4 linked regions of the Anolis sagrei genome follow. The protein of the gene in region 4 interacts with the protein of the main gene of each other region in a pairwise test. Links are inferred from orthologs where the notes say so. Each region holds a gene or a part of one and is shown on either strand. Other genes may lie near its edges. The genes, in order: histidine--tRNA ligase, cytoplasmic; TRIM2; PAFAH1B1; TNIK.

The links.
Region 1: the proteins of TNIK (region 4) and histidine--tRNA ligase, cytoplasmic interact in a two-hybrid assay, tested with the Homo sapiens proteins (2 studies listed by BioGRID and IntAct). The link is inferred for Anolis sagrei from reciprocal best matches to the Homo sapiens genes TNIK and HARS1.
Region 2: the proteins of TNIK (region 4) and TRIM2 interact in a two-hybrid assay, tested with the Homo sapiens proteins (2 studies listed by BioGRID and IntAct). The link is inferred for Anolis sagrei from reciprocal best matches to the Homo sapiens genes TNIK and TRIM2.
Region 3: the proteins of TNIK (region 4) and PAFAH1B1 interact in a two-hybrid assay, tested with the Homo sapiens proteins (2 studies listed by BioGRID and IntAct). The link is inferred for Anolis sagrei from reciprocal best matches to the Homo sapiens genes TNIK and PAFAH1B1.

Annotation. Positions count from the first base shown.
Region 1 is NC_090024.1:136,427,543-136,434,877, reverse strand, and holds the start of histidine--tRNA ligase, cytoplasmic, read right to left. Parts: upstream 3,007-7,335; 5' UTR 2,933-3,006; coding exon 2,852-2,932; intron 72-2,851; coding exon 1-71. UniProt on the Homo sapiens protein: Catalyzes the ATP-dependent ligation of histidine to the 3'-end of its cognate tRNA, via the formation of an aminoacyl-adenylate intermediate (His-AMP). Plays a role in axon guidance.
Region 2 is NC_090025.1:51,265,593-51,273,608, reverse strand, and holds the start of TRIM2 (tripartite motif-containing protein 2), read right to left. Parts: upstream 3,007-8,016; 5' UTR 2,738-3,006; intron 1-2,737. UniProt on the Homo sapiens protein: UBE2D1-dependent E3 ubiquitin-protein ligase that mediates the ubiquitination of NEFL and of phosphorylated BCL2L11. Plays a neuroprotective function. May play a role in neuronal rapid ischemic tolerance.
Region 3 is NC_090031.1:25,959,086-25,966,700, reverse strand, and holds the start of PAFAH1B1 (platelet-activating factor acetylhydrolase IB subunit beta), read left to right. Parts: upstream 1-4,612; 5' UTR 4,613-4,821; intron 4,822-4,972; exon of another isoform or gene 4,973-5,029; intron 5,030-7,615. UniProt on the Homo sapiens protein: Regulatory subunit (beta subunit) of the cytosolic type I platelet-activating factor (PAF) acetylhydrolase (PAF-AH (I)), an enzyme that catalyzes the hydrolyze of the acetyl group at the sn-2 position of PAF and its analogs and participates in PAF inactivation.
Region 4 is NC_090023.1:252,620,775-252,627,879, forward strand, and holds the start of TNIK (TRAF2 and NCK-interacting protein kinase), read right to left. Parts: upstream 3,010-7,105; 5' UTR 2,323-3,009; coding exon 2,266-2,322; intron 1-2,265. UniProt on the Homo sapiens protein: Serine/threonine kinase that acts as an essential activator of the Wnt signaling pathway. Recruited to promoters of Wnt target genes and required to activate their expression. May act by phosphorylating TCF4/TCF7L2.

The sequences.
Region 1 (7,335 bases), on a different chromosome or scaffold from region 4:
AACTTATGCTTCCCATCCTCTGGGCATATGGTTGCCTTCATTTGCAAGAGCTTTGCAACCTGTTCTGCAATCTGAAAGAGAAGAATTTAACCAATATATAGGTTACACCACTGTGTTGTCAAAGGCTTTCATGACCGGAATCACTGGGTTGCTGTGAGTTTTCTGGGCTGTGTGGCCATGTTCCAGAAGCATTATCTTTTCGCTCACATCTATGGCAGGCATCCTCAGAGGTCGTGAGGTCTGTTGGAGGCAAGTGTGAATGTTGCAACTGGCCATCTTGATTAGCAGTGAATAGCCTGGCAGCTTCAAAGCCTGGCTGTTTCCTGCTTGGGGGAATCATTTGTTGGGAGGTGTTAGTTGGACTTGATTGATTCTTGTCTGGAATTACGCCCCCCCCCCCTTTTAATGTTGTTCTTTGTTTACTCTCCTGATTTCAGAGTTTTTTAATACTGGTAGTCAGATTTTGGTTTGGTTCATGGTTTGTTTCCTCCTTTCTGTTGAGATTGTCCACATGCTTGTGGATTTCAATGGTTTCTCCGTGTAGTCTCTTTGGTTGTTAAGAGTGGTCCAGCATTTGTGTTCTCAAATAATATGCTGTGTCCAGGTGGTTGATCAGATGTTCTGCTATGGCTGACTTCTCTGGTTGAATTAGTCTGCGGTGCCTTTCATGTTCCTTGATTTGTGTTTGGGCAATGCTGCGTTTGGTGGTCCCTATGTAGACTTGTCGACAACTGCATGGTATATAGTAAACTCCTGCAGCGGTGAGGGGATCCTTCCTGAACAAATGCTAAGTTCAGCAAAGGACAAGAGAGACCCTCTCACTTCTGCAGGAGTCTACCGTATAACATGCAGCGGTCGACAAGTCTTTCTATGGAAAGAAAAAGTAGGATAAAAACAAATAATAATAATAATAATAATAATAACAACAATGTATTGTCGAAGGCTTTCATGGCCGGAATCACTGGGTTGTTGTAGGTTTTTTCGGGCTATATGGCAATGTTCTAGAGGCATTCTCTCCTGACATTTCGCCTGCATCTATGGCAACAGACCTCACAACTTCTGGGGATGATTGCCATAGATGCAGGTGAAATAATGCCTCTAGAACATGGCCATATAGCCTGAAAAAACCTACAACCCAATAATAATAATAATAATAATAGTCATAATAATAATAAGTATTTGCAGTCCCAGGCGACAGCAGGATTGAAGAGAAACAACTGGGAAAGCTGACACGATACAAGGATTTAAAGATCAAACTGCAGAGACTCTGGCAAAAACCAGTCAAGGTGGTCCCAGTGGTGATCAGCACTGCCTAAAGATCTTGGCCTGCACTTAAACACAATCGGCACTGACAAAATTACCCTCTGCCAGCTGCAAAAGGCCACCTTACTGGGATCTGCATGCATTATTCGCTGATACATCACACAGTCCTAGACACTTGGGAAGTGTCCGACGTGTGAGCCAATATAACAGCCAGCATAGCATCTGCTGTGGACTCATCTTGTTGTGTTTCAAATAATAATAATAACAATAATCACGTATCATTCAAAAATACATCACAGTCTTAAACGCTTGGGAAGTGTTTGACTTGTGATTTTGTGATACGAAATCCAGCATAGAGATCTTGTTTGCTATGACATACTGTGTTTTGTGTCAGTAAAATAATAATAATAATAATAATAATAATAATAATGTGATCACTATATATACCAGGGGTTCTCAACCTTCCTAATGCCACGACCCCTTGATATAGTTCCTTATGTTGTGGTGACCCCCAACCATAAAATTATTTTCATTGCTACTTCACAACTGTAATTTTGCTACTGTTGACATTTGGGAGTTGTAGTTGCTGGGATTTATAGTTCACCTACACTCAAAGAGCATTCTGAACCCCACCAACGATAGAGTTGGGTCAGACTTCCCACACAGAACCCCCATGACCAACGGAATATATTGTGTTTTGTGATGGTCTTTGGCGACCCCTCTGACACCCTCTCGTGACCCACCCAGGGGTCCCGACCCCCAGGTTGAGAAACACTGATATATACTATGGGAAAAAGTAAAGGGAGTTGCTGTGAGTTTTCTGGGCTGTATAGCCATGTTCCAGAAGCATTCCCTCCTGATGTTTTGCCCACACCTACGGCAGGCATCCTGAGGTTGTGAGGTCTGTTGGAAACTAGGCAAGTGGGGTTGATATATCTGTGGAATAACCAGGGTGGGAGAAAGTGTAAATGTTGCAATTGGTCACCTTGATTAGCATTGCAGTTTCAAAGCTTGGCTCACACCCTCTGAGGATGCCTGCCATAGATGTGAGCGAAACGTCAGGAGAGGATGCTTCTGGAACATGGCCATACAGCCCAGAAAACTCACAGCGACTCTCTTTACTTTTTCCCATAGTATACATACTGACCACATAAATAATAATATTATGTTTGTTTATATCCTGCTTTTTCTTTCCATATGGAGACTAAATAGACAACACAAGTGTGGCTATACAGACACATAGATTTTTTTTAAAGGAGATAGTTCAATGATGCATAAGTGGTGGAAAAAGCAGAGCAATGTGCAAGGGCCTGCCATCAGAGAGGCCATCTACACTGTATGATTAATGCAGTTTGATACCACGTTGACTGCCATGGCTCAATGCTATGGAATCCTGGGAGTTGTAGTCACACAAAGTCTTTTAAGCCTTCTTTGCCTAAGAGTGCTGATGCCTCACCAAACTACAGCTGCCACGATTCCATAGCATTGAGCCATGGCGGCCAAAGTGGTATCAAGCAGCATTGATACTACAGTGTAGAGACACCCAGGGGCACAGGTTGTGACCTAGAGTACTGCCTGGTCCCCTCACCTCCTCCTGGCTGGCTTTTTCCTGCTTGAGGCGCCGAACCAGCTCCGCCTGTGCCTTCAGCGCCGACTCCCCCTCCGCCATGGCCTCCGCGCCGCCCGGCCACCAAGACGCAAAGAAGCGGCGACTCTGCTCAGGGCCAGCCTCTACTGCAGTGCGCATGCGCAGGCAGCATCCCTATCCCCGCCCCACGCATGCGCATTGCTTTACAAAGAAGCCACCCGCTCTCGTCTGTATCGGGTGATGCAACAAGGCTTTGGGATGGCAAAGGAGTCAAAGAAGGGAAGTGACGTCAGTTCTGTAGTCACCCTGTGATCCCTGCCTGCATTCTCTCTATCGACCTTCCTTTTCCATTAGTTTGAATAATACAGTCCCGGATACGCCTGAAAGTCAAGCCAGTTCATAGAATCACAGAAACAGCTGGAAAGATTTGAGGGTGCATCTATTCTACACTGTGAAATTAATGCAGTTGGGCACCACTTTTGACTGTCATTGCTCTATGCTATGGGATGTAGTTTGTTGAGGCACCAGCAGTCTTTGGCCGCCTCGTTGAACTGGATTATATGGCTGTGTAGACTCATAATCAAGTTCAAAGCAGATAATGAGGATTCTATGGCAGTGTAGGCTCATATAATCCAATTCAAAGCAGATAATGAGGATTCTATGGCAGTGTAGGCTCATATAATCCAGTTCAGAACAGATGAGGATTCTATGGCAGTGTAGACTCATTATCTGCTTTGAACTGTAATTCAGTTCAAAGCAGATAATGAGAATTCTAATAATAATAATAATAATAATAACAACAACAACAACACTTTATTTGTACCCCGCTACCATCTCCCCAAGGGACTTGGTGCGGCTTACATGAGGCCGAGCCCGAATACAACAATACAAACAGTAATAACAACAATACAAGCAATTAAAAATAAAACATGGACAATACAATAATGCAACATTAACAATAAGACCACACGATTAAAAACTATTCTATGGCAGTGTAGACTCATATAAGCCAGTTCAAAGCAGATCACAAGGATTCTATGCCAGTCTAGACTCAAGGGGCCTTAGGTCCCTTCCACACAGCCATATGACTCAGAATATCAAAGGCAGATAATCCACATTATCTGCTTTGAACTGCATTAACTGAGTCCACACTGCCATATAATCCAGTCCAATGTGGATTTTATACAACTGTGTGGAAGGGGTCCTAGTCAGAGGAAGGCTGAAGACCTTGAAAAAATGGAATCTCCAGGATCCCACAGTATTAATATATAGCAGTTGAAGTGGTGTGGAGCTGCATTAATTCTACTGTGTAGACATGCTCCTCAAGGGGCACTCAGGCCCCTTCTACACTGCCATAAAATTCAGATTTTTTTTTGTCGTGTCAGGTGCAACCTGAAAAACTGCAAATTGCTTCTGGTGTGAGAGAATTGGCCGTCTGCAAGGACGTTGCCCAGGGGACGCCCGGATGTTTTGATGTTTTATCCTCCTTGCGGAAGGCTTCTCTCATGAGGAGTTGGAGCTGATAGAGGGAGCTCATCTCCCCAGATTCGAACCTGCGACCTGGTCTTCAGTCCTGCCGGCACAGGGGTTTAACCCATTGTGCCACCGGGGGCTCCTATAATTCAGATTATCAAACCCAATAATCCACATAATTTGCTTCGAAATGGATTATTTGAGTTTACACTGCCATATAATACAGTCGAAAGCAGATAATCTGGATTTTATATGGCAGTGTTGAAGGGGTCAGGGGCTGGGTCTATACTACTATAGAATCAGGTTTTTCAAAATTAATCCAGATTATCTGTTTTGAAGTGGATTATCTGACTCTGCACTGTCATATAATCCAATTCAAAGCAGATAAACTGGATTTTATATGGCTGTGTAGATGGGGCCTAAGGGCCCTTCCACACAGCCCTATATCCCAGAATATCAAGGCAGAAAATCCCACAATATGGGTTATCTGAGTCCACAGTCAAATAATGTGGGATTTTTTGCCTTGATATTCTGGGATAAAGGGCTGCGTAGAAGGGCCCTGGGGCTCACTTAAAAAACTTCTGAAGCCATAATCATCATCATCATAATCATCATCATTATAACCTGCTTTTTCTCTCTTAAAAGAGAACCCGCCGTCCAAAATTTAGAATTTCACTGCAGACAAGTGGTATGAAATTAGGAAACCTCCTTAAAAATTGTCTTGGATTGATATGCATCATCTTGTTTTTGCATATAAGTAAAGGGATGCTCAAAATTTTACCACGCATTTCTCAACATTCACCATATATAGATTGTTGGAAGTTGAATCTAGGTTTGGAAAAACATACTTTGGATAATGGAGCGCACCAGAGCCTTTCAGAGGAATAGCAAACCCATTGATTGCACGGTTTCTCAAACCGTGCTCTTCCAGATGTTATGGACTTCACCTCCCACAATTCCTAACACCTGGTATGCTGGCAGGGATTTCTGGGAGCTGAAGTCCATAATACCTGGAGGAGCACAGTTTGAGAAACACCAATATAGATTATGAAAAAATATGGACCTGCTGTTAAATAAATGGGTGGGCAACAACATTTGACGATCATGATGCACAACCTGTATTCAGGACAAGAGGTTATTGTTAAGATAGAATATTGTAGAAACAGAATGGTTTCCAATAGGCAAGGGGCAATATTATACCGTGAACCTCTTAAAACCAGTTTAGAATCAGTGGAAGAAATAGTGAAAATTGGAGGAAGAAATATCAGCTGCAAATGGCTTGCATACTAGAAGCAGCATGTTGCAAGCAGATAACACTATGTAACAAAATTTGATTTTTTTTTCTGTTCCTGGTTTGAAAGTACTGGTTTTTTTTTGTTTAATTGTGCAGTACTTGTTTTAAAAGTAGTTGTTATGCTTCTGAAACTTTGTTTTTGTGGCTGCCAAAACTATGTTGAATTGGTTGAGACTCTGAGATATTCATTGAAAAACTATAGCAAAGTGTGCTGCAGGATGTCCTGCAAAAACAAAGCTTTTGTAGTTGAATAAACCTTTTTCATGTTTTTCTGATAGAACCAACTGGAACAAAAACCATGTTACATAGTGTAATAACAAAGATATGCTATGGCTTTTCATTACTCCGGGAGGAGTAATGAAATTAGCCCCCATGTTTCTGTGTGCTTGTGTATATGGGGAAAGGTCGTCATCTGTCAGGACCCCCTGTGGCCATCTGGTCAGACTCTTCCGGGTTGTGGATTTGAGAGTCCTATTTTTCCATAATAGTTATCAAAAACTGGGACAGTGAAGAAAGCTGTCAGTAAGATAGAAATTTAATTTGAAATATGATGCTGGAGGAGTGTTTTGCACACACTGTGGACTGCCAAAATGACAAAGCATTAAAAAAAATCTCCATTGAGATGTACTGTACCAGACAGAAAATGCTATGTCAGAAGTAGACACAAATAGATTGGCCTTCAAAATTCTCCTTGATAGCTATGGAAATGTATGAAGGGAAGCTAAAGTGCTTACACAGCTGTCATGCTTAAAAGAGAAAACTAAATTAAGTTCATTGTGAAATTTATCAACATAAAGATTTGACAACTTATGCAGTCTGAAAATTATGTCCATGCAGATGTCTGATTGACCATGATCTGGTCATATCCATGAATAGACCACCTCTAAACTTACTAGGCTTCTTCATGCTTTACCTGAAGTTGCCATTGCTTTTCTATTTCTTTCATTTAGCCAAGCCTCAACATTGCACAGATGAATGTACATAGTGTTCAAAACTTTGACATTGATTAAAATTATCACTCAGATCCAGATTGTATCATTACTTTCCAAAATATATGCAATATGTCACAATACCTCATTACATGCTGTTACCCCACACTGCAGGGGACAATGGAAATCCACCAACAGCTACCAATAACTTCAAGTAAATCTTATACTCCTTTTAAAAATATTATTTCAACGCTGCAGTTCCCTGTAATGGTAAACTGTTTCTTTATCCCTTTAAATCTCTCAATACCTTGTTTTTAGTTATGAGAAAAATATACTAGTGGTTCCTAAAGCTTAGAATATTGCTTTAAATTGAATAAAACTAGAAACTGAAATTCAATAAATACTAATTGCTGAAATTGTTCAAGTCATTGAGTTACCATTAATTTATTCATTGATAATCACGATATAGCATAGGCCAGACCCTGGGATTTACAGAGAATGGCATGGAAGTTTTCGCTGTTGACCTTTTTTTGACCAGGGACCACTTCCCAACATTAGTACCAAAAGGGTTATGAATCAGTTTTTGGTCAACTTTAGATTCAAGTTTGGTTATTTGGGGTGCTGATTTAGAAAATCTCATTGGACAGACCACATCAGCTTTAGTTTCTGATACAGAACATATGCCATCCAGTAGTTGCCATCTGATTGTCTACAGAAAACCATATTTAATAAGCCTTGGCACTATAAGAGGGTTTCGCGAGATCAGTTGCTCTTGTTGCAATGGTGTA
Region 2 (8,016 bases), on a different chromosome or scaffold from region 4:
CCCTCATCATGGGGGTTATGCTGTCTGTGGCTGATAGGAGTTCCAAATGAACAAGTTCAATTCCTACAAGGCCAAAGTCACATCCCTATATATTAAAACAATATGGTAAGTTGCATTGCCAATTTTCTCGGCTTTAGAAATAAGAGAGAAAAGCCTGATCAAATGTATTGGGATTCTTTCTGTTTCACACTATACCCAAGAAATCCAAAAGCTATCATGACCTTAAATTTCCTCACATCCCTGGGCTCAACAAAAATAATATTGTATTGTGTTTCATATTTGTTGTGATCAGACTGACAATATTAGTTTCTCTTAAGATCTGTGCTTTACCAAACTCAAAACTATAAATTTTGAGTTACGTTTAACCTAAAGAGCTTTATGTTTTCAAGGTCTTTTAGGATAGATCCTGTTATCTCTGTCAGTGTCCTAAGAGGATTTGAAATCCCCAAACCATCCTTTAAGACTCTAACAATAGATTTAAAAAGCATGTTGAACCAACAAAATGTTTACCAAACAACACACAGAAAAAGCAAAAGTGTAATTTTTATTTGATTTGTATCCAGCCTTTCTCTCAAAATGAGATCTAAGGCAGTTCACCATAATTAAAACATTAATTGCAAAAGTTAAGAAGAAATTAAATAATTAATATTGTTCATAATCATTAAAGGTAAAAACAATTTAAATATAATTTAAAAACATAATAAAAGCAGAAAATGGGATTAACACATTGAAACAGCACATCAGTTGCACACAGAGAGAGAGACAGAGAGAGTAATGTCCATTACAATATTTTGTTGAGATCTGTGGTGACATTCATTTCTTGTATCCCTATATCTTTACCTTATTTCCCTTTAAGTATGAGCCAAGGTGGCACAATGGGTTAAACCCTTGTGCTGGCTAAACTGCTGACCTGAAGGTTGGTGGTTTGAGTCCACGTGATAGGGTGAGCTTCCTTCTGTCAGCTCCAGTTTCCCATGCGGGGACATGAGAGAAGCCTCCCACAGGACTGTAACATCTGGGCGTCCCCTGCGCAACGTCTCTGCAGATGGTCAATTATCTCACACCAGAAGCAACTTGGTTAATTTGGGAGAGTTTCTCAAGTCGCTTCTGACACAATAAAAAATTCCCTTTACATTGAACATGCTGATTAAATAGCATGAACAAAACTTTGTGCTTACATGCAATGTCCAGGCATCAAAGTAAATCAATTACATTTAGGCATTTCAAATAATTCTGAATCTGAGATATAGGCCTCGGTCATGTATGCAGTGCCAAATGAAAGGATATTTGGCTTAGGACCTTATCACACTCACATGCGCACACAAGAAAATGCCTTTTAAGTACACAAGCCGACCTTCAAGAAGGCTTGATGAGGACTTTATACACACTGGATACATACCCACCCCATCACATTTGGTTCTCTCTGTTCTGTATCTAATTAAATAATGTGCCTTTGACTTATCACATGGCAGAAAGATGGCTCCTCCCAATCCGTGGGATGTTTCCAGATGTCACTGCCTTTCCCTTTATTTCTTTTCGGTAGATCTTGTGCAACCATGTATGTTTGTGACCTCCATCCAAATGTAAAAAACATCTCTTTGGACCTGCAGAGATGTGCAGTTCCATTTTTTAAAATAAAAAAAAAACAGCAAAAGTTAAACACAGCAAATGTAGCGAAACAGAACGTGGGTGGTTTTTATACCAGTTCTTTCAATGTGAAACCAAAGATCTGTGAAACCACTTATTTCAATGGAAAACCCAAAACTTTGGTAAACCACTGATTTTCAGTGGGAAACCCATGATCTGGTAATCCACTTCTTTCAATGGATCTGTTAAGGCAGTGTTTCTCAACCTATGGGTCCCCAGGTGTTTTGGCCTACAACTTCCAGAAATCCCAGCCAGTTTACCAGCTGTTAGGATTTCTGGGAGTTGAAGGCCTAAACATCTGGGGACTCACTGGTTGAGAACCACTGTGTTAAGACAACCTGCAGATAGGTATACCCCTCATAAAACTTCACTCCCCTCATAACATGTAAAAAACCTCACCTCTGACATGGATGGAGAAATATAAAAATGAGAGGAGTGAATTGTTTTCTATCTGACAAAATATGCTGTTGCCTGCAGGTGCCTACGTGTTTCCTATGAAAGGGACCGTGTGTCATGTGACAGGAGCCGTAAGCACTAGTATGCAAAAGGCATCAGAAACAGTGCATATGACTGTGTGATGAGGTCCTTAAATGCCCTGGATTAAATAAGAACTAGATATAGAAAACATGTGTTTACTGTGTTTCCAAGAGGAAGATGTTTCAGATGTCCTCCTATGACATCATGCAGAAAAAAGTGGACGATACTGATTGTTTGAACTTAACAACAAGTTTACACATAGCATGAGCTGACTTGATGTTTTTACACACAGAATGACTCAGCACTGAAATATCACTGCACTTGTTTCTGCCATATTACTACTGCCACCAAAGCCAACAACAAACCCTAGATAGGTGAATAATTTAGATATAATATTATTTATTTATTTATTTATTTACTTTATTTATACCCCACCTTCCTCCCCGAGGAGACAATTGATTGGATTATTTCTCCTCTACTGAAATGTAATTCTGTTAACATCTTACCATAATATTCCATCAAGTACATATTTATAGAAAAATATCCACTTACATCTCCAGTTTTTACCAATGACATCCCATTTTGGCTATATTTCAGATTGAATATATCCTACCTTGTTCTCATTTTCTTTAGGGCTGTGTTCTTCTACATTTCAGCTCAGCAGTATCTCCATACTGCTGGAAGCCATGCAGCACAAACTTGATGGATTATACATAGTGACAAAGTCTCGTCTCACCACCGTCTGTTCAGCTTTGATTTACATCTGAAGATTTCTTAAACAAATTTGTTCCCTATAAACAAAAGCAAAGAATTCAAAGCCATCAGGAAAAGCCAGGCTGTGGGTGAAGGCACTCTGTACTCTTCCTCAAGCACCGCCTTTCAGCAAGCAGCAGGACACAAAGGTGTTGAGGTCATGTAAGGCCAAGGGATCTTGCTCATTGATAGGATTTAGGTGTAATCCTTAGAAGAAGAAATGAGAAGCAGTGCTAATTTGGGAGGTTGAAGAGATAGTAACAATTTCTTCTACAAGAATGTACGAGGGGCGAATAGCTGCCAACTTTTTTTCTGATCAGGAGATATAACTCACACTTTATTATTATTAATTTATTTACTTTATTTATATCCCGTCCATCTCACCCCGGAGGGGGCTCAGGGCATCTCACAAAAAGGCACAATTTGATGCCACATATACGTTCATAGGATAAAAGAAAACATATACATTAAAACCAAATAATTAAAACATCACAATCTTAAAACCAATTAATTAAAACTACACAATCCAAAGGTATGTTCCAGGAGCCATTCCAGTCATAAATTGCACTATCCCATAATCACTTATTGCATTGAAGATTACTGTCCAAAGGCTTGGTCCTGCATCTATGTCTTCACTTTCTTTCTGAAATCAGGAGGGAGGGAGCTGATCTAATTTCACTTGGGAGAGAGCTGCATAACTAAGGGACCAACACTGAGCCAGGCCCTGTCTTGTCCCCACCGGTCACACCTGCGAGGAAGGTGGGTTTGAGAGCAGGGCCTCCCCGGAAGATCTTAACCTCCGAGATGGTTCATAGAGGGAGATATGTTCGGACAGGTATGCTGCTATATGAGGAATAGGTTAGTCCTCAGTATTGTTGTTTATTCATTCAGTTGCTTCCAACTCTTCATGACCTCATTGACCAGCTCACACCAGAGCTCCCTGCTGGCCATCACTACCCCAGCTCTTTCAAGGTCCAACAGTTACTTCAAGTCCTCTGTATTTCACATTTATTGTACAAAAGTTTCTAGATTCCCATTCCACCCTCTGCGTCAGTCTGCTATTTATTTTTAAGATAAACATGGTTAAAACATAGGTATTTGTATCTTTTTTGTATGCAACATGCACAACTGGACACAATTTTGAGGATTGTGAATTGCACAAAATGTCTGTAGAAGTGGACATACTAATGAATATGTGTATTCTGATCTGTGCATTGGGGAACTGCAAAACAGCATATTTACTTTTAAAATATGGTCTATCTCCCCCATTTTGATATGCATTTTTAATGTTCATTAATCTCTGTTTCTTAGGGCCCATCCAATCATTACCTTTATCCTGGGAGCTCTTACAACAAACTGGAGGGTGGCCAAACGCCATTCCCTGTAAAGATGGAAGCAATAGCCACAAACGGCAAAACCACAAGATTTTCAGGTGTGAGAACATCCTGAATCTGAGCCCAAAATCCACATCTTTGAATGTCTGCATGTGTGTTTTTTTTAAAAAAAGCTAAAATTTCAGGCGGACGTCCTGCAGTGGCTATTTTGGGGGCTGCAAAATCCCGGGACAAAGCAGCAAGTGTGGATGGCAGAAGCAGAAATCCCAGGACCAACACGTCTGTATCTGGACATCTTTTCAGGTCCCAGTGTTTTTTTGCCCCTGACTGAAGTGTGTGATTTGGTGATGTCTGGAACTGCCCTTAGACTTGTTTCTTACACCTCTAAAGCAAAGCACAGGAATAGAAACTTGCTCAATTGAATTCATTGAGCTTGGGAAATGGGCCCAATGGTTCCTTTTAGATCTCCTTTCCCATGTTACCTCTTTAGATTTTTGAAGAAAGAGGGCCCTCTGCAATAGCCATTGTCTCCCTATAATTTGAACAAACGTGTTCACTTCCTCATATCTTCCTGGACAAATTCAGATACTGAAAATCAAAATGAAATTGCATGTGTACTTGTCTTCATTGCACATTGTAAAAATATGGTTACGGGTGTTGTTAAACCTTTAAAGAATGATAGGAATGTGCCTGGAGATGAGTATTGACTGAGTAAACTAACACTTTTGTTCCCAAAACTTTAACAGTCTTTATTTCTAAAAGTGACTTTATATGTTGCTGATTTGATCATTATTTTCAAACTAGTTAGTGAAAGCATATAAATATTAGTTTGGAGACTGGCACAAGTTCAGCAGATAAGATACACAACTGCCTTCCTAGCAAAGGTTTTTCAAATGAACGTGCATGCACCATCACTATAAAAATGGAGTGCTTTGATGTTTTACCTCTGTTGACAGCAAGCCAACAATCTGCTATTGCTGATGTCATGGATGTTCTAAATAAGGCAGTAGGCTTTCTGTGGGCTTAATCTTTGAAAAGCTTTGTTGTATTGTAAACTGGGTCTCTGGGTTCCAGGATGAATGCTTTAAATGACAATAGTAAAACACATTCTTTACTAGAACTCATACAGGTTCCAATTAACCAAAACATGATTATTGATCAGAATGGTTAGAAGTGTGAGTTGTTTCTAATAATCATAATGTCTTAGGATCAGTAGTAGCTGGCAGAGCCAATGGCGGTGCAATGGGTTAAACCCTTGTGCCGGCAGGACTGAAGACCAGCAGGTTGGAGGTTCGAATCCAGAGAGAGAGAGAGTGGATGAGCTCCCTCTGTCATCTCCACTTCTCATGCGGGAACATGAGAGAAGCCTCCTGCAAGGATGGTAAAACATCAAAACATCCAGGTGTCCCCTGGGCAACGTCCTTGCAGACGGCCAATTCTCTCACACCAGAAGCAACTTGGAGTTTCTCAATTTGCTCCTGACACACACACACAAAAGTAGTAGCTGGCATGGTGCAGTAAAACTGAAAGCAGGGACACAATATAGGGCAGAAATGAGTGAATTTAGCAAGATTTGAGGCCAACCTTCTGATCCTAGGAATCTCTAGAAGTCACAAGGCTTCCAAAAATATAATAATGCATGCAAGCAAGCAGGCAAAGGAAAACTGGAAAGGATGGAGGTCCAGTTCTTGTTTTAAAAATGGTAAAGAGTGAAATAAATGTTTAAAAGGGGCAAACTCACATTCCTAGAGGCTGCCACAAGAGACAAATTTATACTCTCCAATATTTCATAGATGAAATCTGGGGTGCATGCAGCCTAGCAATAGCAGAGTGATCAAAATAAAAAAAATTAATTAGGAAGAAAAGACAGGCTAGGCAAAACTACGGTGAGGTGGATCTGTAAGGCAAAACTACGGTGAGGTGGATCTGTAATTGGTTAAGTGGACGAACACAGAGAGTGCTCACTAATGCTTCCTCCTCATCTTGGAAAGAAGTGACAAGTGGAGTGCCGCAGGGTTCCGTCCTGGGCCCGGTCCTGTTCAACATCTTTATTAACGACTTAGATGAAGGGCTAGAAGGCATGATCATCAAGTTTGCAGACGACACCAAATTGGGAGGGATAGCTAATAGTCCAGAGGACAGGAGCAGAATTCAAAACGATCTTGACAGATTAGAGAGATGGGCCCAAACTAACAAAATGAAGTTCAACAGTGACAAATGCAAGATACTCCACTTTGGCAGAAAAAATGAAATGCAAAGATACAGAATGGGTGACGCCTGGCTCGAGAGCAGTACGTGTGAAAAAGATCTTGGAGTCCTCGTGGATAACAAGTTAAACATGAGCCAACAATGTGATGTGGCGGCAAAAAAAGCCAATGGGATTTTGGCCTGCATCAATAGGAGCATAGTGTCTAGATCTAAGGAAGTAATGCTACCCCTCTATTCTGCTTTGGTTAGACCACATCTGGAATATTGTGTCCAATTCTGGGCACCACAATTCAAGAGAGATATTGACAAGCTGGAATGTGTCCAGAGGAGGGCGACTAAAATGATCAAGGGTCTGGAGAACAAACCCTATGAGGAGCGGCTTAGGGAACTGAGCATGTTTAGCCTGAAGAAGAGAAGGCTGAGAGGAGATATGATAGCCATGTATAAATATGTGAGAGGAAGCCACAGGGAGGAGGGAGCAAGCTTGTTTTCTGCTTCCTTGGAGACTAAGACACGGAACAATGGCTTCAAACTACAAGAGAGGAGATTCCATCTGAACATTAGGAAGAACTTCCTGACTGTGAGAGCCGTTCAGCAGTGGAACTCTCTGCCCCGGAGTGTGGTGGAGGCTCCTTCTTTGGAAGCTTTTAAGCAGAGGCTGGATGGCCATCTGTCAGGGGTGATTTGAATGCAATATTCCTGCTTCTTGGCAGGGGGTTGGACTGGATGGCCCATGAGGTCTCTTCCAACTCTTTGATTCTATGATTCTATGATTCTAGGATGAGTTGCAGCCATTTGCTTTTGCCCAGGGCTCATCAATACAGGCAATATAATCTGTATTCACCATAATTCCAATCTTGGCTTGTACCCATAACAATCCTGTACTTCTAGTAGACTGTGCAGAGGAACTGGGTTAATCCAGCATCCTGTGTTTAAAAGTTTTGGGGATATCCATGAGTTTGCCTGAAGCAACTCCATGACTTTGAGACAATGTGGACAACAGACTCAGGTCCTGTTTTGGACAAGTCACAGTGCACATGGGCATGCCCTTTTCCCTGTGCTCATTGGCCCATGGGAAAGGAAATGGATCATCCCCATGTTGGCACCATCGTGGGTACCTTGGACTAGTATCAGCAGAGGTGCCAACATAAAGTGAAAGAAGATGAGAAGATTAGCTCTGTCCTTCTTTCTGGTTGTACAAGCAAAACTGCAAATAACTGCACAGGGTGCCCAGGATAACAAGAACTCTAATGGAGCTCTGCAGCTGTCTGGGAGCAGTGATATCGACATAGCCATTAAGATGGCAGTCCAGAGAGACCAATGCAATCTTGGACCAACTAGAACAGTGGTTCTCAACCTGTGGGTCCCCAGACGTTTTGGCCTTCAACTCCCAGAAATCCTAACAGCTGGTAAACTGGCTGGGATTTCTGGGAGTTGTTGGCCAAAACACCTGGGGACCCACAGGTTGAGAACCACTTAACTAGACCATCTACATTCCAACCCACCATAAACACAGGTTTGGGATGTTGCACATTGCTACCTCTGGGGCCAGTCCATTTCTGACCCAGACTTTCCCCAGATTAACTGGCTGGTGCAG
Region 3 (7,615 bases), on a different chromosome or scaffold from region 4:
AACAACTGATTTGTAACCATCTTAGTACTAATGTTGGGAGTGGTCCCTGGCCAAAGTTGTCCCTGGCCAAGTAGTTCTTGATCAAGTGGTCCCTGGTCAAATGGCACCTGGTCAAAGTGGTCCCTGGTCAAAGTGGTCTCTGTTCAAGTGGTTCCTGGTCAAAGTGGTCTCTGTTCAAGTGGTTCCTGGTCAAAGTGGTCCCTGGTCAAATGGTGCCTGGTCAAAGTGGACCTTGATTAAATAGTCCCTGGTCAAAGGGTACCTTGTCAAAGTATCCCCTGGTCAAAGTGGTCTCTGGTCAAAGTGGTCCCTGGTCAAGTGGTCCTTGATCAAGTGGTCCCTGGTCAAATGGTACCTAGTCAAAGTGGTCTCTGATCAAGAGGCCGCTGGTCAAAGTGGTCCCTGGTCAAGTGCTCCCTGGTCAAAGTGGTCTCTGGTCAAGTGGCCCCTGGTCACGTGGTCCTTGATCAAGTGGTCCCTGATCAAATGGTACCTAGTCAAAGTGGTCTCTGGTCAAGAGGCCGCTGGTCAAAGTGGTCTCTGGTCAAAGTAGTATCTGGTCAAGTGGTCCTTGATCAAGTGGTCTCTGGCCAAATGGTACCTAGTCAAAGTGGTCCCTGGACAAGAGGCTCCTGGTCAAAGTGGTCCCTGGTCAAGTGGTCTCTGGTCAAGTGGCCCCTGGTCAAGTGGTCCTTGATCAAGTGGTCCCTGGTCAAGTGGTTCTTGATTAAATGGTCCCTGGTCAAAGTGGTCTCTGGTCAAGTGGCCCCTGGTCAAGTGGTCCTTGATCAAGTGGTCCCTGGTCAAGTGGTTCTTGATTAAATGGTCCCTGGTCAAAGTGGCCTCTGGTCAAGTGGCCCCTGGTAAAAAAAAAAGGTTGGGAATCACTGGTATAGGAGAACATGAACTAAAATCCTATTGACTTTTTTCATTGCCACATCACATTGCTGTCTCATATTCACCATGTAGCCTACATGCACTCACAGTCACGGACTATTCACAAATATGGGGTGAGGATAGAACTTTTCAGATGAGAGGACTCCCGGTTTTGCTGTTCACATCTTTTACTGCCTGCTATCTCAGTTGCAACTCCCTTTTCGTTCTTTTAATGGAGGGATTTAATGGAGGACCGGACACCAAAATGTTTGCTCAATGCCTTCTCAACCTTTCTTCTTTCCGCCTTGTTTTGACACAGGTTGCATTTATCCTCAGAGACTTCCCGATTGAAACACAGGATCAAGGAATGACGAGGCAAATCGGGTCTTGCTTTGGAAAGCGACAGACAATAAAACATAAGCGTGTCCCGCTTCCCAAAAGCCTAGCTGAATGTTGTGAAGTATTATTTTCATTGAAACACCCGCACAAAGGAGCACAAACCTTGCTAAACACACATATCTGCCTGCCACACTTAAATTATTTTTTTCGAAAAATAAATGCCATTCAGCCCTTCGCACCTCATTTGATCTTTCCTGTCTTCACACCAAGTGAGAGTTATAATACAGGCTTTAGTCATTCATTACTTTTTGACTCCTCTTCCCGACTGATAAGACGCGAAAAAACAAACAATGCTCGCAGGGATGGCTTTGTGCATCATTATTTTGTGGAGTTATTTTCCCTTCAAGTTGGCAGGGAGGCCAAATCGGTTTCCTAAGGACCATTACTGCAATATCCTCTATAGCAGCCATGGGTAAACTTCGGCCCATCAGGTATTTTGGAGGCATTTAATGGCCTTGTCGCTTCAAAGCCTGGCTGATCCCACACCTTGTGTGACTGTGGAGCAGAACAGACAACTCCACATCTGTATGCTTGTCCACTGTGCCCTGCCTCATGTACAGAGGAGGAATTGTTGGAGACCACAGACAATGCCATTGCTGTTGCCCATTTTTGGTCGGAAGATACTTAGCTGCCTGCGCTCTATTTTTATCAGTTTTTATCAGACCTCACAACCTCTGAGGATGCTTGCCATAGATGCAGGCGAAATGTCAGGAGAGAATGCCTCTAGAACATGGCCATATAGCTTGAAAAAACCGACAACAAGCCAGTGATTCCAGCCATGAAAGTCTTTGACAATACATTTATCAGTTTTATACTAATTTATGCAATGCTTTAGATACAAAATAAATAAATAACCCTGGTGGTGACCCCCAACCATGAAATTATTTTTGTTGCTACTTTATAACTGTCATTTAGCTACTGTTATGAATCTTCATGTACATATATGATATGCAGGATGTGTTTTCATTCATTGGACCCCATATGCCTTAATTTGAATCCTGGTGGGGTTTGGGGGGGTATTGATTTAGTCATTTGGGAGTTGTAGTTGCTGGGATTTATAGTTCACCAACACCAAAAAGGAAGAGAAGGACAGGCGGAGAGATCTTCAGCCTCCTCTGCCACAGGGGTATTATACCGCTATACTGCAGTATTATTAGTAATATTACATGTAATAATTATTATTGTATTATTACATTGTATCACACTATTATCAATATTAAATGTACATACATTATATTATTAGCATGGCACAATATTAGTATTATATATTACTATATTGTACTATACTACTATACTGCAATATTATTAGTAATATTACATGTAATAATTATTGTATTATTATATTGCATTACAGTATTATCATTATTATCATTGAGACATGCCGCATTATCACGGGGTGCCTGCGCTCTACGCCACTGGAGAAATTACACTGCTTAGCCGGTATTGCACCACCTAACATCCGCCAGGAAGTAGCAGCCAATAGTGAAAGGACCAAGGCAGAGACATCTCCAGCTCATCCCCTGTTTGGGTATCAGCCAGCACGTCAACGACTTAAATCAAGACATAGTTTTCTAAGATCTACAGAGACACTCGCTGGAACACCTCAACAAGCGAGAGTCCAAAAGTGGCAGGCTCAAACCCAGAACCTCAACCAATGGCTGATACCAAATGAGAGACTCCCCCCTGGGCACACAGAGGACTGGGCGACTTGGAAGGCGCTGAACAGACTGCGCTCTGGCACCACGAGATGCAGAGCCAACCTTCGGAAATGGGGCTACAAAGTGGAATCCTTGGCATGCGAGTGCAGAGAGGAGCAAACCACTGACCACCTGCTGCAATGCAACCTGAGCCCTGCCACATGCACCATGCAAAGGACATTTAATCAACTACCAAACTCACAAATTTTGTATTTTGTCTGGTTTTTTTGCTTTGTTCTGTTAGAAATGTAATACAATCGACTGGTTGCACTGACACGATAAATAAATAAATAAATAAATTTATATATAGATAGAAGATATATATATACATACAATATATTATTAGCATTGTCGAAGGCTTTCATGGCTGGAATCACTGGCTTGTTGTAGGTTTTTTCGGGCTGTATGGCCATGTTCTAGAGGCATTCTCTCCTGATGTTATCTGTGGAATGATGTTTCGTCATTCCACAGATATATAAACCCTTTTTCCTACTTCCAACAGACCTCACTATCTCTGAGGATGCTTGATGTAGGCGAAACGACAGGAGAGAATGCCTCTAGAACATGGCCATACAGCCCGAAATAACCTACAACAACCCTATTATTAGCATAGCACAATATTAGTTTTTTTTCGTGTTGTGCAGTGGGTTAAAGCATTGAGCTGCTGAGCTTGTTGATCGAAAGGTCGCAGGTTCGATTCCGGGGAGCGGCGTGAGCTTCCGCTTTCAGCCCTAGCTTCTGCCAACCTAGCAGTTCGAAAACATGCAAATGTGAGTAGATCAATAGGTACTGCTCCGGCAGGAAGGTAACGGCGCTCCGTGCAGTCATGCTGGTCACATGACCTTGGAGGTGTCTACGGACAACGCCGGTTCTTCGGCTTAAAAATGGAGATGAGCTCCAGCAGACAAGAGTTCTTTGTCCCACCCTGGTCATTCCACAGATATATAAACCCTTTTTCCTAGTTCCAACAGACTTCACTACGTCTGAGGATGCTTGCCATAGATGCAGGCAAAACGTCAGGAGAGAATGCCTCTAGAATATGGCCATACAGCCCGAAATAACCTATACAACACTATTATTAGCATAGCACAATATTAGTTATTTTAGTGTTGCTCTTTATTTACTGTCCTGATTTTGGAGGTATTTTTGTAATACTGGTTGCCAAATTTTGTCCATTTTTAAGGTTTCCTCCCCAGGGAGCAATCAGCCAGGCTTTGAAGCTACAAGGCCATTAAATGCTAATCAAATTGTCCATATACTTGTGGTTTTCAGTGGCTTCTCTGTGTAGCCTGCCCTGGTGGTTGTGAGAGTGGTCCAGCATTTCTGTGCTCTCCAATAATAATAATAATAATAATAATAATAATAATAATAATAATAATAGGCTGTGCCCAGGCTGGTTCCTCAAGTGCTGTTCTGAGTCTCTGCCCGCGCGAGGCATGCCGGGAGCCTTTCCCCCCTCTGCCAAGATGGCGCCCACTCCCTCCCTCCCTCCCGCGTTCCCTCCCTCCCTCCTTCCGCGCAGGCGCACTCCTCGAAGCGGGCCGCAAGCCGGGGCGAAAGCCACGCCCCCGACAAGATGGCGCCGGCTGCCTCCGCCGCGCAAGCGTAGTCTGCCCGCGCTAGGCCACGCCCACTTCCTCCCCCTCCTTTCCCTCCTCCTCCTCCTCCTCCGGCGGGCTTCCTCCATCTTCTTTCTCCTCACAAGCCGGCAAAAGGGGAGGGGGCCCCGAGGCCTGTCTCTGGCGTGGCCCAGCCGCCGCCCCCCTTCCTTCCTCACAAGGCACCCGGCTCCCTCTGTGAATGGGAGCGGCCTCGGCGGCGGAACGAGAAGGAAAACACCCCGTTTCGGGTAGGTCAGTCAAGCCGGCTTCCACAGGGAGACAGGGACGGGAAATCGAGCCAGGCTTCGTCTCCCTGTTAGGCCTCACAGGGGAGAGGAGGCAACAAGGCCCCGCCGCCTCTCTCCTTCCCTCCCTCTCTCCCTCCCTTCCCCTCCTCCTCCTCCTTTCCAGCTCGCTCTCAAAATGGCCGCCGCGCCCGTTGATATGGAGAGTCAGGCAAGCAGGGAGGGGAGAGGCAGGGAGGGAAAGGGGACACTTGCTCTTCACTTCCTCCCCTTTCTCACCCCCAGCGTCGCCATCATGGCGCCCCCCCCACCCTCCCACAACACCCCCTCCCTCCCCTGCCTTTGTATTTCCATCCTCGAGGCTCCCATCTCCCCCACCCCGAATCTTTATTTTCATTGTTTCCACAGAAGAGAGACAGAAGGATCTCTGTGTGAGAGGGAGAGGGTGGATCTCTATATCTCTTAGCTATCTCTATCTATCCATTATCTATCTCTATTTTGATCCAAATGCGAAAATTATATGGAGAGGATGGATAGTCTATATCTATTATCTATCTCTGTTTGTATCTATCCATTATCTATCTCTATTTTGATCCTAAAGCAAAGATTATATGGAGAGGATGGATAGTCTCTACCTACTATCTATCTCTATTCGTATCTATCCATTATCTATCTCTATTTTGATCCAAAGACATGGGTTATATGGAGACGTGGATAGTCTATATCTCTTTTGATCCAAAGACAAGAGTTATATGGAGAAGATGGAGCTCTAGATCTATTATCTATCTCTATTTTGATCCAAAGGCAAGGTTATATGGAGAACATGGATAGTTTATATCTCTCTTTATTGATCCAAAGGCAAAGATTATATGGAGAGGATGGATAGTCTATATCTATTTGTTTGTATCTATCCATTATCTCTATTTTGATCCAAAGGCGAGGGTTATATGGAGAATATGGATAGTCTATATCTCTTTTTTTTGATCCAAAGGCAAAGATTATATGGAGAGGATGGATAGTCTATCTATTATCTTTCTCTATTTGTATCTATCCATTATCTATCTCTATTTTGATCCAAAGGGGAGGGTTATATAGAGAACATGGATAATCTATATCTATTATCTATCTCTATTTGTATCTATCCATTATCTATCTTTTTTTTATCCAAGGGCGAGGGTTATATGAAGAGGTGGATAGTCTATATCTATTATCTATCTCTATTTGTATCTATCCATTATCTGTCTCTGTTCTGATCCAAAGGCGAGGGTTATATTGAGAACATGGATAGTCTATATCTCTCTTTTTTGATCTAAAGGCAAGGGTTATATGGAGAAGTGATAGTCTATATCTATGATCTGTCTTTATTTGTATATATCCATTATCTATCTCTGCTTTGATCCAAAGGCGAGGATAGATACAAATAAAGATAGATCATAGATATAGACTATCACTTCTCCATATAACCCTTGCCTTTGGATCAAAAAAGAGAGATATAGACTATCCATGTTCTCCATATGACCCTCGCCTTTGGATCAAAATAGAGATAGATAATGGATAGATACAAACAGAGATAAGGAATATATGGAGGGGATGGATAGTCTATATCTATCTCTCTCTTGGTCCAAAGACAAGGGTTTATATGGAGAGGATGGATAGTCTATACCAATTACCTATCTCTATTTGTATCTATCCATTATCTATCTATCTCTGTTTTGATCCAAGGGTGAGGGTTATATGGAGAGGATGGATAGTCTATATCACTCTCTTTTGATCCAAAGGCAAGGATTATATGGAGAGGTTGAATAGTCTATATCTACTATCTATCTCTATTTGTGTCTATCCATTATCTATCTCTTTTTTGATCCAAAAGCGAGGCTTATATGGAGATAATGGTTAGTCTATATCTCTTTTTTGATCCAAAGGCAAGGGTTATATGGAGAGGTGGATAGTCTATATCTATTATCTATCTCTGTTTTGATCCAAAGGAGAGAGTTATATGGAGAGGATGGTTAATCCACATCTATCTCTGTAGATTTCTGTTTTCTAAAAGTGAGGTTAATGAGAGAGGAAAGTCTATACCTGTTTCTGTTTATAGCTGTTACCTATTTTTATATAAAAAAAGTGAGATGGAGAGGTGGATAGTCTCTGCCTCATCTATATATGTTTTGTCTGTCTCTATATGTCTCTTTTTATCTCTTACCGATTTTTTTAAGGTGAGGTTTCTGAGATGAAGAGAATAGATCGTTTGTATCTATCTCTATACTCCTTTAGTTCTATATCAGTGGTTCTCAACCTTTTTTTGGCCATGGACCACTATCTGACATTAGTACCAAAAAGGTTACAAATCAGTTTTTGATCAACTTTAGATTCGGTTTGGTTATTTAGTAATAAAATAATACAACTTTATTTGTATACCGCCCTATCTCCCCAAATGGGACTCAGGGCGGTTTCCAATATATAAGGCAAAACATTCAATTGCCAAGAAGAAAATCATACAGACAGATTAAAATAAAATTATTCAGAAAATAGCATTGGATAGACCCCCACCAGCTCTAGTTTCTGATACAGAAAATATGCCATCCAGTAGTCACCATCTCCTCACCCACAGAAAATCATATTTAATAAGCCTCGGCATTATAAGAGGGTTTTGCAAGACCAGTCACACTCATTGCAACAGTGTAGTAAGGGTGAGGCCACGGACCATATTTTAGTGCTTGTGGACCACTAGTGGTCCATGGATCACAGGTTGGGGACAGGTGCTCTACACCTATTTCTATCTAGCTAGTTCTGTATTTTT
Region 4 (7,105 bases):
TAGAATAAGCAGAACAATAGAGGACAACACATTTATGGCCCCAATTTATTTACAGGAGGCATCATGAAGACATCTAATATTCCTACAATGCCCTGCTCACACATGTCATTTTTATATCAGTATTAGACACAAAGTATCTACTCAGGCTGATCTGCCTGTGTCAAGACTGATTCAGTTCATTCCCCCAGCCCATAATGTGATGTATGTAGCATGTCACATGGCTAAAACAGCCAGGAGGTACATCCTCTTCCTTCAAGAGGAATGGAAGAGCTCATTAAAAAGGTGCATTCGATCCTATTTCATCAAAATGGACACTACCACTGTCTTTAGCTTTCACACACTGTGAGAATAGCAACCTAGCTAGCTTGCATCAGAGCAGATGGTTGCAAAATGCATGCACACGGAGCAACAACAGCGACGCATGACCATTAAGACATATCCCCATGACATGTCTTAATAGCGGCACATCAGGGTGTGCAATGGGCATTTCCATGCCGCCTTTCTTTCCACATATGCCAGAGAGGATTGTTTATATTATCATCAAACGAGCCTGAGACTGGGAAAAGAGTCAAGAGAGCAGTGGGGTTGGTTCATCTACCTTACTGCTTCTATTTTTGATGCCTGGACACATTGTATGTGTTCCTTTCCCAAATACTGTAGCAGCAATGTAGATTTTGAAGGAGAAGGGGAGGGAAAAAGATTAGATTTGGAAGAGACACATTAAGCAACCTTCAAAATGGGCAAGAGGTGACCAAGACCATCTCCAAAACACCTTTCATTTAAATGTACCTTCCATCTCTCTCCTTTCAAATTATATATGAGAGAACAAATGCACCATTAAGGGGTAACAATAAGGAGCTAAGACCCCATCACACTAGAGAATGAATCCACTTTAAATCTGGTTGCTTCTTCCTGCAGAATTCTGGGATTTGTAGTTTAAGGAGGAGACTTTCACAGCCTCACTGAACTACAAATCCCAAAATTCTGCAGGAAGCAGCAGAATGGGTGAGAGGTGACCATGACGATCTCCAATACACCCTGCATTTAAATGTGCCTTCCATCTCTCCCCTTTCATATTATATATGTGTGAGGAAATGCACTATTAAGGAGTAACAACAAGGAGCAATCTAGACCTCACCACACGAGAGAATGAATTCACTTTAAATTCAGTTGCTACCTTCTGCAGGATTCTGGGGTTTGTAGTTTAAGGAGGAGCCTTTGACAGCCTCACTAAACTACAAACCCCAGAATTCTGCAGGAGGCAGCAGAATGGGCGAGAGGTGACCAAGACCATCTCAAAACACCTTGCATTTAAATGCACCTTCCATCTCTCTCCTTTCATATCTTATATGAGGGAGGAAATGCACCATTAAGGGGTAACAACAAAGAGCGACATTCATGCTGTAATGTGATGAGTTCTTCGAGACCTCATCACACTAGAGAATGAATCCACTTAAAATCCGGTTTCTGCCTCTTGCAGAATTCTGGGGTTTGTAGTTTAAGGAGGAGACTTTAACAGCCTCACTAAACTGCAAACCCCAGAATTCTGCAGGAAGCAGCAGAATAGGCGAGAGGTGACCAAAACCATATCCAAAACACCTTTAATTTAAATGTGCCTTCAATCCCTCTCCTTTCATATCATATATGAGGGAAGACATGAAACATTAAGGGATAACAACAAGGAGTGACATTCAATCTCTAGTGTGATGAAGTCTTAGAGACCTCATCACACTAGAGAATGGATCCACTTAAAATCTGGTTTCTGCCTCCTGCAGAATTCTGGGGTTTGTAGTTTAAGGAGGAGACTTTAACAGCCTCGCTATACTACAAACCCCAGAATTCTGCAGGAGGCAGCAACCGGATTTAAAGAGGATTCATTCTCTAGTGTGATGAGAGATAGATGCTGTTTCCCAGCTGTGCTTGGTTGATCCCTCTTCTTGCCCTTTCCCCATACTATTGATTATCACCAGCGGGTTCTAGACAGCTCTCCACCTCCATTCAGAACAGGAACACCCACACATCTTCCAGGAGGGAAGGCTTTCTGTCAATAACAAAAACAACCCTGCTGTTATCAAGAGGAGCAGTTTGTGCCCATCTGGGAAGTTCTGGGATGGCAAGGGAGGAAAGGGAAAGGCTGGATGGATGGGAGGAAAGGGGACATCTGTTGTGGGGGGAGGGGGCAGCGAGGCTGGGTGGGCTCCTCTGCCACACACTCACACACACACACACACACCCTCCCAAGCCCCCCCCCCCCCTGCTTCTTACCCTCAAGGCGGAGAGATCGATCTCGTCCAAGCTCCGCGCTGGAGAATCACTCGCCATGTTGAGTGGGGGGCTCCTCCACCGAGGAAAAACGGCCCCAGGGAAGAAACCCACGGCGCTGGCTTCGGGCTCCGGCCTCTCCTGCTGCCCCACAAGCTCAGCAAGCCCTCCGTCTTCGGCTGGGTGGGAAGAGAGGGTCCCTGTATGGAGACCTCCAGCCTCTCCCTCTCATGCGCCCTGCTTGCGCTTCTACTGCTGCTGCTGCTGCCAATGGAGAGGAGCGGCACCCTTTCCCTCTCCTCCTTCCTCCTCTCCTCCTTCTTCCTTCTTCCTTCCTTCCTTCCTTCCTTCAACGCTCACGTCCTCCGACCAGCGTCCCCCAGGAAAGGGCAGCGAAAGCGAGAGGAGAAGCAGGAGCTCCGGCGCCTTGGACGAGAGGCGAAGGCGAGTGCGCCCGGGCACTTTTACGCGCCGCTCTCGGGGAAAGAAGAGGCGTGCAAAGGCGGAGAAGGGAAGGTGCCTCTGCTCGGGAGGGTCTGCTTTTCAGGAGGGCATGGCTGGCTTCTCCTGGCCCGGGTGGGGAGGCTGCCTCGGTTTCCCCGCTCCTCTCCCTCCCGGTGAAGATAACGAGGCGATTCCCGGTGCGGTCCCGGCGCACCTCGCCTCCTCCACTCGCTCGGATGGAGAGGCAGAGAAAGCTGTCACCGAGGAGGAAGAGGAGGAGGAGGAAGAGGAGGCTTCCTGGGAGGGAGAGAGGGAGGGGAGGGGGACCAGGGAGGGGCGGCGCCTCCTCCGCTTCTCTGGGGAGGGGGAGGGGAGGGGGAAAAGAGAGCCAAGCAATAGCGTTGTGTGGCGGTGGGCTTGGCCACTACAACACAAACACACCCAGGCATTACAGCTTGTGTCCAAAAGCACACTCTATCCACTCAGTAGGATAATGATTATTATCTCAAGGCCAGAACCTTCCTAACCCCTTAATACAGTTCCTCACGTTGTGGTGACCCCCAACCATAACATTATTTTTGTTGCTACTTCATAACTGTAATTTTGCTGCTGTTATGAAGGGTTCTGCCAACCTAGCAGTTCGAAAACATGCAAATGTGAGTAGATCAATAGGAACTGCACCAGTAGGAAGGTAATGGTGCTCCAAGCAGTCATGCCGGCTACATGACCTTAGAGGTGCCTACAGACAACGCCGGCTCTTTGGTTTAGAAATGGAGATGACCACAAACCCACATACTTAGGCTCGATCTGCACTGTAGAATTATTGCAGGGCAACACTACTGTAATTGCCAGGTCTCGATGCTATGGAATCCTGGGAGTTGTAGTTTTGGGAAGCATCAGCACTTCCCAAAACTACAACTCCTATCAGTTATGAATCATCATGTAAATATCTGATATGCAAAATGTGTTTTCATTCACAAGTACCCAATGCGCCCAAATTTGAATCCTGGTGGGCTTGGGGAGGATTGATTTTCTCATTTGGGAGTTGTAGTTGCTGGGATTTATGGTTCACCTACAATCAAAGAGCATTCTGAACTCCAACAACGATGAAATTGAACCCAGTTTGGCACACAGAATTCCCATGACCAACAGAAAATGCCGGAAAGGTTTGGTGGATATTGATCTTGAGTTTGGGAATTGTAGTTTACCTACATCCAGACAGCACTGTGGACTCAAGCAATGCTGGATCTGGACCAAACTTGGCTTGAATACTTGATGAGAAACGCTGCATTACAGCTTGTGTCCAAAAGCATACTCAATCCACTCATTATGATGGTGATTATGTCAAGGCCAAGTACAAATACATTTAGAAGGAAGAACAAGTGTCACAACAAGGATTTGTAATAATAACAATGTCTGCTTTGATTGTGTGTTTCTGGAAGGTCTTTTCTAACCCTTCAGATGTTTTGGACTTCAACTCCAGAATTCCAGCTGTCAGGAATTGCAGGAGTTGAAGTCCAAAACACCTGGAGAGCCGCAGTTTGCCCATGCCTGATTTAGGACTAATACCTTTCACACCACCTTAACTGTTCTCAGTGCTATGGAATCCTGGCAGTTTCGAGCCTTTTCTGTATCGAGCCTTTTCTGTCTCGGGGCCCCTTCTACAAGATCATCCACATTATATGATTTGAACTGGATTATATGAGTCCACAGGAGTCCCTAGTGGCGCAGTGGGTTAAACCACTGAGCTAATGAACTTGCTGACCAAAAGGGTGGAAGTTCGAATCTGGGGAGTGAGGTGAGCGCCTGCTGTTAGCCCCAACTTCTGCCAACCTAGCAGTTCAAAAACATGCAAATGTGAGTAGATTAATAAGTACTGCTTCAGCAGGAAGGTAGCAACGCTTCATGCAGTCATGCTGACCACATGATCTTGGAGGCATCTATGGACAACACCGGCTCTTCGGCCTAGAAAATGAGATGAGCACCACCCCCAAATGGGAAACATTTTCATTCTATGCGTCCACACTGCCATATAATCCAGTTCAAAGCAGATAATCTGGATTTTATATGGCCGTGTAAAAGGGGCCTAAGAGTGATGGCCTTTTGCATGGACCCCTGGCAGTTAAAGTGGGGCCAAACCTCTTTATGTCTACAGTGAAGAATGCCCTCTCAGACTGAAGGAGCATTGTCATAATAAGGATTTATAGCAATAAGGGTAATAATATCTGGCCTGCTTTGATTGGGTGTTCTTTAATGGCAACTGCATTGTCCTTGAGGGTCTCTTTCAACTCTATGATTTCGTCAGAATTACAAAACCCACACTTAGGATCCATCTGCACTGTAGAATTAAGGCAGGGCAACACGCAGGCATGTAGCCGGGGGGGGGGGGGGGGGCTTCAGCCCCCCCCCCCGAAATTCTCATGGTGGTTCGCGAAAAGGCCTTACTGGTGCATTAATTAAACTGTTATGTTTATTCATATCATGATCTGATCACCATACTCAATATATCCCATATGCATGGGGGTATTGGGGTAATGATACAAAAGGTTTGCTAGGCTAGACCCTCTTTCACTCAGACTCAGCCCCCCCCCCGAAACTCACCCCCCCCAAAACCCCCCCTGAAAATTTTTTAGCCCCCCCCCCCCCCGAAACGAAATCCTGGCTACGGGCCTGGCAACACTACTGTAACTGCTAGGTTTCAATGCTATGAAATCCTGGGAGTTGTAGTTTGGGGAAGCATCAGCACTCTTTGGCATAACTGGGTAAAGATTTGGTAAAACTACGACTTCCATGATTCCATAGTTTTGAGCCATGGAAGTTAAAGTGATGACAAACTGTATTAACTCTACAGTTTGGAGGCACCTTTAGATGATACTTTATTGGGGTTGTCCACTGGAGATCAATGGGGCTTGGATATGAAGATGCAGAATTATGCAGTTTGATACCCCTTTAATTGCCATGGCTCAATGTTATGAAACCATGGGATTTGTAGTTTGATGAGGTACTAACACTCCCAGACAGAGAAGGTTAAAGACCTTATAAAACTATAACTCATGTTATTCAACAGCACTGAGTCTTGGCAGTAAAAGGGATGTCAAACTGCATTAACTCTACAATGTAGATCAGGCATGAGCAAACTTGGGCCCTCCAGGTGTTTTGGACTTCAATTCCCACAATTCCTAACAGCTTTGGGCCCTTAAGTGGTTGAGGGGGGAAAGAAAAGGGCCTGAGGCTGTTAGGAATTGTGGGAGTTGAAGTCCAAAACACTTGGAGGGCCCAAGTTTGCACATGCCTAGTGTAGATGCACCCTGAGTTAATACAAATGCATTAGCTACAGTTGTAACCCTTACTCCTGAGCAATTTCCATTGCATTTAATAAGGCCTCCTTTGGAGTAAAAGCATTGGAATGGGCTGTAGATTGCACCAGATATTTTCCCTTAAAGGAGAGAGCTGGTGCTGAATGCCTTAAGAAAGGGAGGGAAATAAAACCTCTCAATTCAAAATCAAAATCAGAAAGAGGGAAACTGTGCTCAGTTTCATTAATCCCAGCCCTGCAGTTTCTTTTGAATTTATCCAATAGCGAGCTCTGCAAACTGACCTTTCCCTGTTTGAATCATAAATTCGGATTTAATGCCAACAGTATGAATTCAAATCAGGCCCCTTAAAAGCAGCCGTTGTCAAACGCGTGACCAAAATTCCTCCCTTCGGTCTAACTGCAGATGGAGAAAGAAAAGGGCTTTCTGTTTCACCCAATGACACGTGAGATTAAAAACAACTGCATTCCTCCTGCTAGCAGGAGCAGTAAAATATAAAATAATCGAGGCACCTGATTTTTTTCTGTCTTTGATGAAATGTATTCAAAGTTTGTTTCTGAAAAAAAAAAGATTGGCAGGGGTTTCCTTGAAAACACCACTCCAAGGAGCTCGGGGCCTTTCTAGTAAACTCTGGGGTGTGTAGGCTGATGTTGAAGGCCATGCATGTCCAGAAGCACTCTTGCTTCATCAAGTTTTCACTTTTCCAGAGGGTTAATTCCTGAGTCACAATTTGTCCTGCAAGCATGGATATTGTTCCAGCACTTTTAAAAACAGTTAAAGGGCCAGTGTCATGTACTGGTTCAAGTGTTTGATTAGGATTTTGGAGACTTGGGTTCGAATCCCCACTTCATCTTGGAAACCTTGGGAAAGTCATATCCAGAGCGTGGCAAAGGTAAATGTCCTTTGAAAAAAGTGCCCAGAAAACTTTGTGATAGGCTCCCTTAAAGGTAAAGGTAAAGGTTTCCTTTTAACATTAAGTCTAGTCATGTCCGACTCTGGAGGGTGGTGCTCATCTCCATTTCTAAGCTGAAGAGCCAGTGTTGTCCATAGATGCCTCCAAGGTCATGTGGCTGGCATGACTGCAT